2 linked regions of the Drosophila melanogaster genome follow. The protein of the gene in region 2 interacts with the protein of the main gene of each other region in a pairwise test. Each region holds a gene or a part of one and is shown on either strand. Other genes may lie near its edges.

Region 1 (8,410 bases), on a different chromosome or scaffold from region 2:
CGCTTCTTCCGTCGCCTGCTTTTGTCGGTTTCAAGGGAAGCCGATGCGAACCAAACCGAAATCCACGAACTTTCTATGGAAGATGGCAACAAGAAAACGCACAGTGTCCCGTGGAATGTTTCGAAACTGAAAATACCTCTAGCGAAAAATGTGCCTACGAAATTGATAAAAAAAAAAAAAAAAAACCCCATCTCACTGCCACATCATTGTCATCCCCATTGGATAAAAGCTAGCACGAGATTTTTTATCGCGGAAAAGCAATGTGTTGTAAGATTTCTACTCTAATATTGTTATTTGATTCGATCACATGAATGCATTAACCATCAGAAACTATAGTTTTTGGGACTCAATTTTTATTTTTTTGAATTTTTTGAATTGAATTTTTTGATTCTTGGAAACGTTCGAAACATTCGGACAGATCGAGTTGATCAGTTCACAGGATAAACTTTTTCATTTTATTAGTGTTCTATCAAAGTATTAAGTATTGCTACTTTACGTTACATATTAGGCAATCTACAATATGTATGTAAATATAATCCTACAAAATCCCATAAGGATTCAATTAAGACTTTGTTTGTTGTTTTTCCAGCGGAAAAAGCCGATTTACCACCGACGCAATCCTGTTCCAATTTAAAAAAAAAAAAAAACCTTGTTATTTTAAGTTTTTGGAGAGGAACATAAATGGGACCTTTTCAAGGCCCGAAGTCTTCAAGATTATTGCTTCTTATTTTATTGCTGAATTATCAGATTTGTTTCCTCTAACATTAATCCCTCAATTCTTTAGTCAACATTTTTTCCACTTAATAGAACATTATTTTTTGTCAGCATTCATAAATTGTCTAAATAGTTGAATATTTCGCCAGACTATAGAACTAAAATCGAATTTTATGGCTTTGACATTAAATAGACTTTCATCATTTGCTTCTAAGAAGAAAAACCCAAGAATCGCTGACAGTGCAATTAAAATTGAAGAGTATTTTAAAATTACAAATGCACAATAAATTGTAATTCATTAAAATTCATCATCGAGTTACCACTAATGAACGGGGTAAGTTGCCGTCGGTAAATTTTAAAATATTATCATCGTATCTAATCTTAGCATTTACTTACTTTTGTACAGAAACTTCGAGTAATCACAATCCATATCGCATTGGTGTAAAGCTCCAGGATTAGATGCTACTTATTGCGCGGCTGCTCCGATTGGCTAGGATATGGTCTAGATGTGCGAGGATTCCGAAAGCTGGAGAAGATCTCTATCTCGAAATGGAGAGCTGTGCGGATTGATTGGGCTATTCACAGCACCTTCTTCGGCGAACTTTTTTCGCGGACCTTGCAGGGATCGAAGAAATAAACCCAAATGCGGATGCTTATCAGTGAAAACCGATCCATTTTTTAGGATTTAACCGCACTGCACATTTTCCACCGTCGCGACTACGATGATATTTATACGAATTATACGGATTATGTTTATCTTTCGCGATTTACATGACCAATTGTGTCATGAGCCCGGCTTTTTTGTTTTAATTTGCATTTATTTACTCTTCGCTTATGTTTCGGTTTCTGTTTGTGTTTCTGTATTGTATCGCAATTGGTCGTTCATTGGCTGGCATTACTGAAACTTAAATCCACTTCCAAATAAGTGTATCGTGCGTTTTTAGTTTCCCCTGCAGGTTGAATTATTGTTCTTTTTTTTGGATTTACTTTCTGGTATTTACACAGTGGTAATGGGAGTCGAGTTTACACTTGGTCGATGTTTACCGAATCTAGTCGCTCGATTCGATTGTTCGACGGAATGGGAATTGGCCACCATATCATTGATTTAAAGGCGTTAGTTAAGGTTGTTCTGATATCAGACGGATTCCTTAATAAATGCACTGCAAAAAAAAAAGCAACGTAATTATAATCGTTAAGGAGGGGGAACAATGGCTTGGGTATTATTTGTTTATTTGTATTTATACGTATTTTTTTTTTTTTTGCTGGCCCAACTCGCTTCAGTAGTTTTCCCGAAGACGATGTGCGGGTGTTTTTTGTGATTATTAATTTATTTATTTGTTTTTTTTTTGAATGGGGTGCAACAGTTGTGCTGCAATCAGCACAAATAAATCTTTGTGGGTGATTCATAAGCTGTCAAATAAACGCATACAGCACTGCACAGCACAGCAAAAAAAATGTTGGAAAAAAAATAAAAATAAAAACACGATGTAGAACAAAATATTGGTATTGGGCAGAATGGCCGAAAAGCGCTCCGAATTACCTGCGCATTAACAATAACGGCGCGAATCGGATAGGGATACTATCCAATCCAACACTATCCAATCCCAATCCACTCCACGCTCTCTATATGTAAACTTAGCACACACGAACGCAAATTTACACTGGCATACATGAAATGCAATTATTATTATTATTATTATTATTATTATTTTTTTGTTTCCACGGTCTGTTTCAGATCCGGTTGCAGCTTATGCGAAGCTAATTAAACTAAAACTATAACTACAACTTTGTTTACACAACACACCGCTGGCCGAATGCAACGTCGAATTGTGCTAAAGCGAACCCATTATTTAAGATTTCATTAAATCCGCGACGTTTTTTCCTCCAGGGCACATCATCTGATGTTGATGGTTTTTCTCAAACTTTGCGCTTATTTTTACCGGCACACGGCGCAATCTGTTTGGCTTTGGACTGGGTACGAACTTGTACTTGTACGGTACACCGATAGAACAACATATCCGACGGATAGCGACGAACAAACGGAACGGGATGGGTTTGGCGGATGGCGGATGGTGGATGCGGATGTGGATGGAAATTCGGTACGAGAAGAAAAAACCGCAATTCGATTATATCTTATGGCTGGCGTTTGTTTTAATTTTAACTAATGTTAACTAGCTCTCGCAATCGAAATAACACAGACAGACGCAAGCGATGGCATAAACAGAACTACCAATAAGAAATTATCTCAAAATGTATTTCAGGCAAAAAGTAAAACAGTAAAAGCTCTTCTCATTGAGCATTCGCATTCGCACTCGGCTGCTTCCATCGAAAAATTTTTCGAAACTGAAAGCAGAAATATATTTTTCTGGCCATTCCAATTCGACTCGAAACTCTCTCGCTCTCTTCCTCGCTCTCTTTGTGCGCGGTTCCAATCGGAACCAATTGTGGAACCTAAGAGAGCGTTAATTCTAAGATTTTACATAAAGAGAATCCGTTTTTCTCTTTCATTTTCATACATTTTTATGTTTTCTCTTCCCCTAAATTATGTTAAAAGCTTTAATACCAAAGCTTCACTTTATTTGACAGCTGATTCAGCTGAAGGTGATTGCCGCCCTTTTTTGAACTCCACTAAAAAATGCCTATTTTGGTATATTTGATTAGGTTATCTGTTGATTACAATATATTTAAGCTGTTTGTCCAATTAGCGAAGATATTTAAAAAGTTTATTTCACTTTTTGATATGCTTTTAATTTAACTTTTAAATTAGACTGTGTTCCTGTTCGGAATACGGTCACACCGGAACAAAAACATAAACAGACCTTTGAATGCATTCCACTGTGCAGTCAAAAGTAATAAATATAAGCTCCTCAGTTTTATACGTCAAACTATCGCTTAAGCAATGTATAAAATTAGTTTATAAGTTGGTTACATTTTAGTTTATTCTCTTTTAATGGCTCTAAGTGACTATTAAATCCGTGTTGTGGTAGCTCTTTGGTTGGCTTGAATAGCCAGCAGTAACTAAATATAAAAATAAAGAAAGTAATTGAGAGACTTGGAGGGAAGAACAGCGCATACGCGAGAGTGGTCGAGTGAATGTTTACAGCGCATGAATTAGGTTTTGGTGGTTTATCTGAGTACCTCTAGCCCCATGACTAATGCTTAAAGATGGGCTGACTTGGGTGTAATCACCTGCCTCTACAGGTTTATTATCAAACACGGTGCAGTGTTGCAGTTAACTGCTTAGCATTAAAGCCCAATATAGGCAAGAGTGTTGGAAAGCTCATCTTTTCCAGCACTGGGTGCATTGTACCTCCAGTCGATTTGATTGGTGAACCAAACTGGTTATATTTTAGCCAGTGATAAGGGGTTTTCGGATCTGGACAAAGCATTTGTATGTTTATATATTTATATATATTATATTTATTTATTTATATATATTTATTTACTTATTTATTTATTTATATATATTTATATATTTTCATAGAACAATATATATATGTATACAGAAATATATGTCCAAAACGGTTAAAGAGGGATAATTTAAACTATTTTTTTTTGTTCGTATTTAAATTTTTGTAAGCTTTATATGGTTAATCAAATACTTATCGAAATCTGAAACTCAACTAGTGGATGCGGCCCACTGTATGTACGATACCGCTAAGCTCCCTTCAAAGGCAGTGGAATTGTTCTAAATGCGAACATCGATAATACTTATCGATATCTAGACTGATCCTCGATATCCATGACAATAATTAATACACATGACTAAATATGCAAAAAAAAAGCCCCAAGTGGACTGATATGCAAAAAAGCATTTCACCACGGCACCTGCGCATATAATGGTGGATAGCCTGTGGAACGTCCTTATCTTATCGTGTAAGGTGGACACGACACGAACACTAATCAGAGAATAGAGCAGTTCTAACTCACAATATTGATAAACAAAGTAAGGGCCAGCCGAGAGATACACGCGCATTTATTGGCAGCAAACAGAAGCCAAAACTACGGACATGTCCGAATCGGGAATCAAAAAGTTGAGCCAGGAGCGGACTCGCGAATGGTTGGCTAGTCAGGAGGACGAGGAACTGGAGTCCATTGCAGAGTCCTCGGTTGTGGACAGCTTGGACTACGATTATACCGAGGAAGAGGAGGATGCCGACCAAAATACCAGTGAAGAAATCAGCACTATGACACTAGGCACTCAAATCGGTGCGTAGTACTCAAGATCAAGTTTCTATATTCAATTTATAACACTTTCAATATATCCCCACCTTAAAGCTACCAAAAAGCATTCGATCATCAGCGACACCATAAGGGACCTTATGAACTCGATCAACAGCATTCAGACTTTGGGCAACGTTAATATAAGCAACTCCACGAACGTCCATATCGGCAATGTTACCAATATTAATGGAAATATACAAATCATAGCCGATGGCCTTACTCAAAACCGAAGAGATCGGCGGCATGTTTCACCACCGAGAGATAACGCTCCCAAAACTCCGACACATTTCGAAGACGACTATCAGGACGAGTCGGAGGAGAGGGTGCGCTCGGATGTGTTCATCAGGCGCCAGAGTAAGCTATCATTCACCAGGGGATGCATACACGTTAACCATAGGATACCGATTTCACTTACAGAATTCAAAATACCCAAGGAGCTGTCCGCCATCATTCCGCGCTCTTCGTGGCTAGCACAGAAGCCCATGGACGAGCCACTGCCCTTGCAACTGCCTGTTAAATATGTGGTTATCTGTGAGTATTCAAGTTTGCTGCACGTTTTAACCATTTTTTTGCCAACTGATTATAAATCAAGTTGTCTGTAAAAGTATGACGCAATAATTAAAACAATTTATACTATTTGATCTGACCATCATGCTTAGCACTCACTAACCTAAGATTATATCGTATTATAACTCTTTTCGAATATATTTAAAACCTTGATTAACAAATATTGTTTTACCACGCAGTACACACAGCTACAGAGAGTTCAGAAAAGCGGGCGATCAACGTAAGACTTATCCGTGACATGCAGGTAAGTATTTCGTTAGCGAAATTAAATCATATATGCTCCGAACTATATAATAATTATGTATATATATTTCAGTGCTTCCACATTGAGTCGCGGGGATGGAATGACATTGCGTACAACTTCCTGGTCGGCTGCGATGGCAACATCTACGAGGGACGCGGATGGAAAACGGTGGGCGCCCACACTCTGGGTTACAACAGGATCTCGCTGGGGATCAGTTTCATTGGATGCTTCATGAAAGAACTCCCGACGGCAGACGCCTTGAATATGTGCCGCAATCTGTTGGCCCGCGGCGTTGAGGATGGTCACATATCCACCGACTATAGATTAATTTGTCACTGCCAGTGCAATTCGACGGAGAGTCCTGGTCGGCGATTGTACGAGGAGATACAGACATGGCCCCACTTTTACAATATCGAGGAGGAGGAACAATGAGGGACAAAAGAAGAGCACCATTTCACATACTTAGACTTAAATGCACCCGAGTTACGTTTATAATGTTGAACATTAAATCACCTGTTTATAAATTTTCCAGCTACTGGCAGTTTCGTTAAGTTACTTTATATTTTGGTATAGTTTTTGCAGCGCTGAAAGGTGGAAAAACCACAAGATGTTTCGGAACCAACATCGCCTACCTGTTTTAATTCACAACTGAAAGAGAAGCAACAATTATACTGCACAAATATGAGCGAGCTAGCACCACATAAATACAGACAATAGTAATGCATTTGCTGAAAACAATCTATAATTAAACAAAAATTTGCGTACAGTCAAGTAAACAATTAACAATTAGAAGTGATTTTCTTTAAGCTTTGGCGGAGCCGAATACTTTTCCTTAACGTGAGCACGGTACTCCTCGTCATCATCGTGGCACTCCTTATAGCATAGAGTGCAAAAGAGTTCCCCACCACATCCGTGGCATCGGAAGTCGGCGTCTTCGTTACAAATATTGCACCAGGGCAATTCTTCGGTGTTGCCGGGCGACTCAGTGTTAATTGGACTAATTTCACTCTCGGAAGGTTCTGGTAAGCGCGATTCTGCTACATACTGAATGGGAATACGAAAGTGATGATTTGGCTTAAAAAAAATAATGCTACTATATAAATGCGAACCTTTTTCAATATGTTCTGTAGAAGTGTCTCGTCATCCTCTTCGTTGTCCGCGATACTTTCCATCTGGGATCTCGATGGGCATGCATCGGAATCGACGGGTGTATCGCGCAGAGCTCGCAGACGTCTCTCAATGTCGGAAATTGAGTCATCCCTCTGCCTGCTGATATTTTGATCCAGTTGGGCTTCGTCAACGAATTGTGCGAGCAAGTCCCTCATTTTCTCCTGATCGTTTCTTTGGTCGGTGGACAGTAGCAGATCTTTCTTATCGTAGCTTTTCGTATGCGGCATCCCAGTGAGATTGGCCAGACGGGTGCGGATCTCATCATCGGTGGCATCAACTCGTTTATAGTCCTGCATTCGTTTGGTCAACTCACTGTCCAGGTTCTCATCAATATGATCCTTGTGATCTTTGGAATGTGGTGACGAACTGGAACTGGGAACCAATGCCTGTGGCAGCTCCTCCACAGGCAGGCTGTCGCTGCAATTAATCGAATTATAGTTTCAGAATCGGTGTTTTAATGTGGTATTTTACTTACTTGAATAGGGCATCGGCGCCATCTGAACTTTTGGATGGAGGAGCCAGGTTCATTTTGGTGACTAAGATCCCCGGCAAAGCATCACAGTCTATAACTTTCTCGGCATCGGCGCTCGCCTGGAGTTTGGATAGTTTGTCGTAGCATATGAGGCACACATTGTGCACCTTTCCTGCATGACGGGGCACGGGCATTGGTCTCTTCAAGCACTTGGAGCAGAATGAGTAGCCGCAGTTGGGGCATCCATACTAAAATTTCGGATTTAACACAATGTAAGTAGGTGATATATGTTGGTTTGCTTTGGTTTGATGGCACTTGCCTCCTTGCAGAATAGGCCATATTTGCGACCGCAGCCAAAGCAGCTCATTGCAACCAGAGTCACCAATGGAACATATAAATTGAAAAAGTTTCAAATTTCGTTTGCTTTGTTTTGAAAGAAGCCAGTTCTAATTAGGGATGGTGTACAGTGTACAGTGGGTGAGCTATCGATTACGACTTAAACGCATTAGCGTTCTAAAAATCAGCTGTTCCTTGTTTTGGTTTAGTCTAATATCAATATTATTAAATTCTTGAGCTTTGTTGTGACCAGATCGTTAGGAACTAGAGATAGTCGAGTGAGTCCTGGTATCGATTGTCCATGGCACACAACAGCTGTTAATGAATAGTATTTAGTCTTGTAAATGTATTTAGTAGTTTATTTTGTTTACAAATCAATCGAGGACTGATCACTGATCACTTTTCAAATGATTCATTGAGATCCGAGATTTTTCACCTAACTCGATAGTTATCTAACGCGAGCGTGGACTTTGGTCCGGTGGAGACGGGCTGTTATACAGGCAGCTATTTACCGATAGGGTAAAGGTCTATCGGCCTCGGTCAGGTATCGTCAGTGCAATTGTTTTGAGGTGCTAAGACGTCAATTGATTGACTTGTCCACACAATCAATTTAGCAACATTCTCTGATTCGGTTTAACAATACTTAGCACGGCAAGTAGAAGCAAACAGTGAGCGAAAACAAA
Region 2 (8,528 bases):
GCAGAAGGACGAAGAGGTGGAGGCCGTTGAGGAGGCGGCAGCACCAGAGCCCGAGGATCAGCCAACACCAGCAAAGAAAAAGAAAAAGTCAAAGCACCAGGAGTAATTTCCCACCTTGACTAGTTAGTAGGCCTTAAGTTTTAGCATCATAGGTTACCTTACTGTAAAGTATAGGATTTTATAATTACCAAAACGATTAAAGTTTCCGGTGTACATTAGAAATAAAATGTAATATTTGCATAACAAAATACAAATGTTAATATGTTATTCGTATTGGTTTTGATATACTTAATTCTTAAGAAAGCAATTGCAATTGTTTAATGTCCTTTGATTTTAAGAACTAAGCTACCTCTTAGGCATTCAGTTCTTGTCTGCGAAGCTTAGCAACATATTTCAAAAGCAGCTCCCAATTTTGGAGGCCAATCCGTCACTCGCTGCGAGGTAAAAAGTACGTTTGACTGCGGTAAAGGGACCAATGGAGCAGAAAGTTTTTACGTCAGCCCCAATTGCTTGCATCATGATGCCAGGCCCAGTCATTTTGACCATTTTGTGGTCAACGGCGTGGTATATAAATGCGATTGCAACTGGTGCCATTTGAACGAGAAAACTATGCGAGATGCATGGTCATTTTAAGTTGCTGCTGGTCCTGGGACTCCTGCTGACTTACGCGGCAGCCAAGAAGAAGGAGGCCTCATCATCCGAGGAGGAGGAGGGTGGCGACAAGTACGAGAAGAAGAAGTTCGGTGACGAGGAGCACAAGGGTGAGCACGGACACAAGGAGCACAAGGAATGGGAAGAGGACGAGAAGAAGCACCACGAGGTGGAAGACCACGAGCACCACCACGGCGACAAGGGATCGAAGAAGAAGAAACACTACGATGAGAAGGATGAGCATGGTGAGAAGCATGAACACGGCGCTCACAAGAAGGGCGGCAAACATCATCACAAAAAGAAGCACAAGAAGGGTCACAAGGAATTAGAATACCACAAGAAGTTCAAAAAGGACGAGTACATCAAGGAGAAGAAGTTCTACGATGATGAGCACAAGGGCGGACATCATAAGAAGTATGGAAAGGAGCACCATCATCATGCCGAGGAGCACGGCGAGCACAAGAAGGGCGAAAAGCACGAGGGCGGCAAAAAGAAGGGTCACAAGAAGCACCACGGACACTACAAGAAGGGTCACCACGACGAGGACCACAAGAAGTACAAGAAGGAGCACAAGTACGGCGACAGCTTCGAGGAGAAGAAGGAGCACGGCGAGAAGGGCTCCAAGAAGCACGGCCACAAGCACTACAAAAAGAAGGGCGGCAAGCATTGAGCAAGCTATATTATACATGTGATCTTTATGTGAAATGCAGAATTAAAACTGGGAGAGGTTCTAGAATATTATACTGTCTTGTGTTTTATTCAATAAGCTGTTAAAACTTAATCTGCTAAAAGCTAGTTTTGATACTTACAATGTTTCAAATAATATAGCACACTATAATATATTTAAATGTATTAGTATATTAGTATATACATATATAAGGTAGCTTAAATTGTTACGTTTTTTGAAAAGCCTGATAGCTAATCACGACGATTTATCCCATTTCATTTCCAGAAGCAACTCATTCAGCAGATCTCGGAGCACATCGCGACGCAGGCGCACTCGCTCCAAGTCCGGAACTCGATCCCGCAGTCGCTCCGCCGGCTCGGTGGGCCGTCGCTCCGGCCGCTCGAACGGACGGGACGAGAACGGATCGGCGTCGAGGTACAGCGACCACGAGCGCAACGGCAGTGGAGCGGTAGATTCACCGCCGCCGCCAAAACGGCGCTATGAGGATGAGGACGATGACCGGGTTAGGGGATCGCCGCGGTCGCGTTCCCGATCTCGATCGGCGTCGCCAGCGGTGCGCCGTGGATCGCCGCCCAGGCGTCGTGGTGACTCGTCCGCCTCACGATCCGTTTCAAGGGACTAGCGACAGCGAACGGATGCAGACGGAGCCCGACATGCGATGATGAGGGCCGGAGCTGCAACCCCCCGATGAATCCGGCGAGATGGGCTCTCCACGCACTGGACTCTAATCCTCATTCCCAAAAGAAACAACCTCACGTGTAACAAGACAGATTCCCAAATACTTTTTCATGCAGTATCCATCTAAGGTTTTTAGTTGTCCAAAACCATATTAGTTAAGGGTTTTAATTTATAGTGGAACTCGAGTTTGCATATTTAGGTATTCTAATGTTCCAACACAACAACAAATACAAGCACACGCAGAACAAAGGAGAGCGCTTCGGAAAATCATTTGACGGAAGGAAATTTAAGATATAGAAATGTATCGGCAGCCGCAGATTAACGATCTAGTCAGGATTGCTATGTAAATTGATTTGCCTTGGATTTTATTTTGCTTACCCTGGAATTATACTCGAATGTGCAGAGGACGAAGCATCGCCACCATTTTCATGTCAATTTTACACAATTTTCAATTTATGCAACACAACAACTTGATTATTTGACTCCAATCTCTGTATGATGTGTTTCTATATTCGTAATAATTAAGTATTGCAACAGTGCATAATAATTATTCATACATTGATGTCATAGTTAAGTATTAAAAAAATACATATGTATGGATTCTTGAGATGTGTGTTTGAATTATGTAGCAAATGCGCTGAACACTAAAATACAGATATTCAATCAATAAATTAAATGCCAAAATTAGTTGTTTTCCATTTGAATTTGGCGGGCTTTATGCGGTCTTGAACAAGTCTGGTCACTCAGTTTAGAAGTAGGTGCGCATTATTTAAATTGGTATTTTTGCCAGATGTTTAGTATTTTGTTTGTTTGGTAACTCTGCACTTCCAGTTACTTAGTATTTTTTCAGTCAGAGCTGGTATTTTATTGCGCATCGGGTACGGCCACATTATTAGACTAGCATTCCTCCAGTTAAATTTTGTTTTGTGTTTTGTTTTGCATTTTTTTTAACTATTGCCTTTACTTTACTGCCGCCGGCTTCCATACAAATAGTTCTGAAATCAGAAATAACGAACAGAATCGTCTTTCAACGTGGTCAGCTGGACAGCTACAGCAACAATGGCATTCCGCCAGTCGGAGCACGAGATGAGCGTCACCTCACTCGATTCAAGCGTCGAACTGAGATCGCGTTCGCCATCGCCGCAGGTCTTCAATCCGCGCAAGCTCCGCTTCGCCGATGATGACTTTGACAAGGACACGCCCGAGGGAGCGAGTCCGCAGCATCCCCTTCAGCAGCGGCCGAAGCTATCCTCCGGTGAGGAGCAGCAGCTGGACAGTAAGATAGGCAAAGAAGGCGGCGACGGGGACGTGTCCATGTCGCCGCCATGCCAAAAGGTGCGGGCCCTGCGACTCTTTAGCACACCGGCCACTCCAAAGACCATCCTGCAGAAGTCGACGACGCAGTGCAGCAACCATCTGTCGGCGGCAGCAGCGGCAGTGAATGCCTCCAGGCGCAGCGACGACCTCTTCCGCCTGTCAGAGCGCCCGCGATCTCTGCCACTGCACAACCGCAAACTGCCCACCCAGGACACGGCAAATGTGAACCCCTTCACGCCAGATAGTAAGTTTAAAACGTTTCTCGCTTTTGATATTTTAATTAAATAAAGGTATCAATTTCCAGTTCGTTGCTTTAATTTGCACTCCACTTTAACCCATCCCAGCTTAGTCTTATTAGCAATCTAATAATCATTTTTTTTATTTTTAGGCCTCATGGCTCACAATAAGAAGCGCTGTCGCACGCAATTCGGACGCGAAAACCTCAACCTGAACGTGAATGCTATGCAAAAGTATTTGCTCAGTGATGCCTGCGACGACGATGTGACGGAGGAGGCGGGCGACTCGATGCGCGAAATCCACCAGCAGGCACCCAAGCGGCTGGCCCTGCACGACACGAACATCAGTCGCTTCAAGCGGGAGTTCATGCAAGTCAACGTAATCGGCGTTGGCGAGTTCGGTGTGGTGTTCCAATGCGTCAATCGACTAGATGGCTGCATATATGCGATTAAAAAGAGTAAGAAGCCGGTGGCAGGCAGTTCTTTCGAGTGAGTATTCATTAGTTATTGCAACGAGCGTCGTTTAACAATCTATTTGCTTGCAGAAAGAGAGCCCTGAACGAGGTCTGGGCCCATGCTGTATTGGGCAAGCACGATAACGTGGTTAGATACTATTCCGCGTGGGCGGAGGACGATCATATGCTGATACAGAATGAATTCTGCGATGGTGGCAGCTTGCACGCGCGCATCCAAGATCATTGTTTGGGTGAGGCAGAGCTAAAGATTGTTCTCATGCATGTGATAGAGGGCCTACGCTATATTCATTCAAATGACCTGGTGCACATGGATCTGAAGCCCGAAAACATATTCTCCACCATGAATCCCAATGCACACAAGCTGGTGGAGGTGCAGCCGCAGCAGACCAAAGATGACGATGGCATGGACAGCGTCTATGAAGAACTGCGCCATTCAGAGAATCTGGTTACGTACAAGATCGGCGACCTGGGACACGTGACCTCCGTTAAGGAACCCTACGTCGAGGAGGGAGACTGTCGTTACCTGCCCAAGGAGATCCTTCACGAGGATTATTCGAATCTCTTCAAGGCCGACATATTTTCCCTGGGCATCACGCTGTTCGAGGCGGCCGGCGGTGGTCCGCTGCCTAAAAATGGACCCGAATGGCACAACTTGCGAGATGGCAAGGTGCCGATTCTGCCGAGCCTGAGCAGGGATTTTAACGAGCTCATAGCCCAGATGATGCATCCTTATCCCGACAAGAGGCCCACTTCGCAGTCTATATTCAGTCATCCGTAAGTAAATTGAGTCGACAGTATAAGCGACAATCATATTTAGTTGCATTTAAGATAAATGTGCTCACACTAAATACATATAATGTTCGTTTAATTTGCAGAATTCTGAGTGCTGTTGACTCCAAGAGCAAGCTGCAGCTCGGCCTGGAGCTGACCGTGGAGAAGCGCAAGAACGAGATACTGATGAACAAGCTGAGAGAGGCCAAAAAACAGATTAAACTGCTCGAGCAACGAGGTAAGATAAGATAAATAGTTGTATAACAACTTAAACTTTAAGGTGGTTGGTTATCTGGATGTTTACAATTTCTAACGTTTCTGCAACTCATTTTAGTCAATCTTCTTGCGGTGACTAACAATCCGGACAGTCTGGATGGACAGCGTTGCCTTCGCAGCTTCACGCGACGCATGCGCACGCCATTCTCCAGCCATGGCAAGTTCGACAGCATATCCGATCGCAACAAGAACGTTATCACCAATATCTGATAAGCTCGCAACAGATGCCGAACCGATAGCTAAACTCTTCCGAATCGAACGTGAACTAAGCTCACATTGTGTTACCTTTTAAGCGTATTCATATAATCGATACATATTTCTAACTATTCGCTTTCGTTTAAGCTCATGGATTTTGAAGCATTCGTAAATATAATCTATATATTTTTCAAGCTCAGTGAACTTTTCCCTGTTAAGAAAGCACAATCGTTTTAAGAAAAGCCCCTTGTAAACTTTAAGATTCTCGCATAGTTGTAATGAGTATTGTTTTCGAAATTAAAATATTTATTATGTTACATGGAAATCGAAATAATAACATTCCATTCGTTAAATATAGCGAATGCTATTCCATAAAAACTACTGGATTTATTATGACTCCGGATTTAAAACAAAATGTTTGCGAAGTTTTTCTTAAATTCAATTGTTTACTCCACTAGAAATTGTTTTGATATTATCCAATTTCCTGTCAAATTATGTTCCATTTTCCTTATCTGAAAATAACAATCGTCTCATTTTTTTGTATTATCCAGCTAGTTTGCTTTTTTTACGCAATCAATGGAAAGAGAAATGATCATTATTGTAATTTGACTTATTTTCTTTGAGGCACTAAGACTAGATGTTGGCTGTAAGCTGCTTTGATAGAAATGCAATGGGTATTTCATTTAAAGAACAAACTCAGAACTTGGCATGAGTTTGTTTGGAAATCCTTAATCAGTATATTTTCTTCATTAAAAAATAATGTAAATTAATATGGATTACACTTTTGTTATGCGCTACATATTATATTGTTTGTATGATACACCTAAAACCGTCTATAATTCTGATTCTGTTGCCTGCTGCCGCCTTGTTGCTGGTAGTTGTTGTTCCTTGGACCATTATAGTTGTTAAAGTTGCGCTGCTGCTGATTCGAATTGTCCTGGTTGAATCTCTGATTGTGGCCATATTGCTGCTGCTGTCGGTTATTGTAGTTGTTTTGATAGCCGCCACCCTGGTGCTGATTGTAGTTATTGTTGTAGTTGTAGTTATAGTTTCGGCTATTGTTCTGATAGCTCTGTCCTTGGTTTCCGCCTATTCCCTGGCCGTAGCCGCCTCCTTGCCCGTAGCCTCCTCCTCCACCTCCATTGCCACCGCCACCCTGTTGGTTCCTTATGCCAGCGTTCAGCATGCGGTGACCACTATCCGGAACGTAGGCCCTGGTCAAGTGGCTATTAAAACCGATGACGGGACGATGCTTGTTACCAGACTGCTCATTTGGCAGCACCTGTGGCGGATCTACGGCGTTTTCGAGGCGCTTCGCTTCGAAAATGTAGTCTTCATCGTATTCCGGATCCCTGAACGTGGTCGTCACGGTTATATTGTCATTAATGTCCGATAGCCCGGAAATCGGCGACTTAAGAACGCCGCTGATGGCAGTGTTTAGTTCGGTTTTTCCCAAAGTGCCGCGCATACCGTCAAATGAGATGGCTTTGCAAACGCTCTCATCATCCTTTTCGCTGATTTTCTTCACCTTTTTGTAGTGCGGACTCTGATTGCTGATGTACAGGTAATTGTCTCCACGCTTGTTTCGCTTCACCTCCTCTCCAGTAAGTTGATCATAGTAGGGAACCAAAGCCTTGAAGAGACGCTTCTCATCGACGAACGGCAGCAGAGCCACTCCCTGCCAGGCGAACTTCTTGCCATTCAGATCGATCTTAAAGTCCTCCGGATAGAAGTCAATGATCGGTGACTCCGGATCGGACATGAGCTTGGCCCACGGCTCGGGCACGTGTGAACTACTGGCTGCCGGAAAGACGCCCATCAGTTGCTCGAGCGGATTAAACGGCTTTGTGCCCTTTTCGAACATCGTGGACAGTCCCTGGATGTTGACAAAATCCGATGCGAAGGGTGCATAATGGTATGGGAAGTACCAGTTCCAGGAGGCACAGCCCTGATAGTAGTACTTAAGAACCCAGCACAATCCTCGGACATACTGCAGGGCTACAGCGTATCGGAACTGCTGGTTACCCGGTGCCACGTCAAACTTGGATTCGTAGTAGCGGTCCTTGAAGCCATCCTCCCACAATCGCACCTCGTCGTTATTCTCCTCCTCATCTTCGTCATCCAAATTGGCCATGTCACTCGTCCGTTTTCTATTACGAAGTGCCGCGGCCTCCTCCTTGTAGTTGCCGACGCTCCTTTGCTGGCTGTTTGGACCCACGGCGCTGGCGCCAAAAGCAGACTGATTCAAGGATCCGTGGTCCTGATTCCTTTCCTGCCTCTTGCGCGCCTTGTCCCTGGCCTTGAACTGCTCCTCGCGTCGCTGTCGGCTCTTGAAGATCTGGTCCTCGGCATTGCCCAAGTCGGTCATAATCAGCTGCACCCGGTCAAGATTTACATCTCCCGAGTCGGTGAGATAGCCCCTTGTCTTGTAAACGCACTTCTTGTATAACTCCACCAATCGATCTACTGCACCCTCGCGAATCTCCAGGCTAGGCAGGTGGGGCAGAAAATCATTGCCCACAAAGAAGCACATGAACACCCAGTCGTCCAACGCGCGCTCGAAACTGTACTCAAATGGCAGATTCGGCATCTCAAGAGTCTGCTTTAGGTACTCGCGTAGCACACTCAGCCGCACAAAGATGAACTTTACCTCGGCGCCTATGGGCACATCGGGCTTAAAATTGGCGCTAGTTGGCGCAGTCGCTCCGAGTCCGACACACTTGTCCATCTCGTGGCCAAATCCGTTGCAGATGTCGCAGGGACGCGGCTTATTCGGCAGGAACTCCTCCCGAATGATTGTGAAGTTGGGCTCGTGCGTGGCCAGACCCAACATGATGAGATCGGCGTCGGCTCCGCACAAGACGTGCTGCGTGTTGGGATCGTGATCAGGCTGGGCACGCTGCTTGCGAATGTAATCCATGATCTTGTGCTCACCCTCACCGGGCACATTGGCGTCCGACAGGATCACCTTGATGCCCTTCCAGGCCGGGTTATTGTTTTGACGATCATGAACAAAGTAGTGCAAACACTTGCTCAGTCGGTCCATGAACGGGGTGCCCGGCGTGATGCAGTTGGAGTCAAAGTGTTCACCCTTCTCCTTCTCCGGTGGCAGCTTGCAGCCGCGGCTCAGCAGCTCCTCGCGGATCCGTGCTATCTCCAGCCGCTTTTCGGTGGTTTCCTTGGCCGCTCGGAAGCGACGAGATCGCTGCTGATTCATCTTGGCTCGTGGAGCAACGCCAT

Evidence for each region. The genes of interacting proteins can lie anywhere in the genome.
Region 1: the proteins of Wee1 (region 2) and PGRP-LE interact in a two-hybrid assay, tested with the Drosophila melanogaster proteins (2 studies listed by BioGRID).

The regions. Positions count from the first base shown.
Region 1 is NC_004354.4:15,799,022-15,807,431, reverse strand, and holds PGRP-LE (peptidoglycan recognition protein LE), read left to right. Parts: upstream 1-3,551; 5' UTR 3,552-4,105; intron 4,106-4,341; 5' UTR 4,342-4,724; coding exon 4,725-4,923; intron 4,924-4,992; coding exon 4,993-5,292; intron 5,293-5,355; coding exon 5,356-5,469; intron 5,470-5,684; coding exon 5,685-5,749; intron 5,750-5,821; coding exon 5,822-6,181; 3' UTR 6,182-6,279; downstream 6,280-8,410. Other genes in the region: CG15602 (uncharacterized protein), read right to left, coding at 6,536-6,793, 6,859-7,336, 7,395-7,639, 7,711-7,758. UniProt on the Drosophila melanogaster protein: Peptidoglycan-recognition protein that plays a key role in innate immunity by binding to murein peptidoglycans (PGN) of Gram-negative bacteria and activating the imd/Relish pathway. Has no activity against on Gram-positive bacteria.
Region 2 is NT_033779.5:6,908,476-6,917,003, reverse strand, and holds Wee1 (Wee1 kinase), read left to right. Parts: upstream 1-2,865; 5' UTR 2,866-3,076; coding exon 3,077-3,578; intron 3,579-3,722; coding exon 3,723-4,059; intron 4,060-4,115; coding exon 4,116-4,820; intron 4,821-4,921; coding exon 4,922-5,055; intron 5,056-5,151; coding exon 5,152-5,303; 3' UTR 5,304-5,914; downstream 5,915-8,528. Other genes in the region: nop5, read left to right, coding at 1-106; CG32829 (uncharacterized protein), read left to right, coding at 617-1,321; x16 splicing factor, read left to right, coding at 1,604-1,961; Rat1 5'-3' exoribonuclease, read right to left, coding at 6,112-8,528. UniProt on the Drosophila melanogaster protein: Acts as a negative regulator of entry into mitosis (G2 to M transition). This kinase specifically phosphorylates and inactivates cyclin B1-complexed CDC2.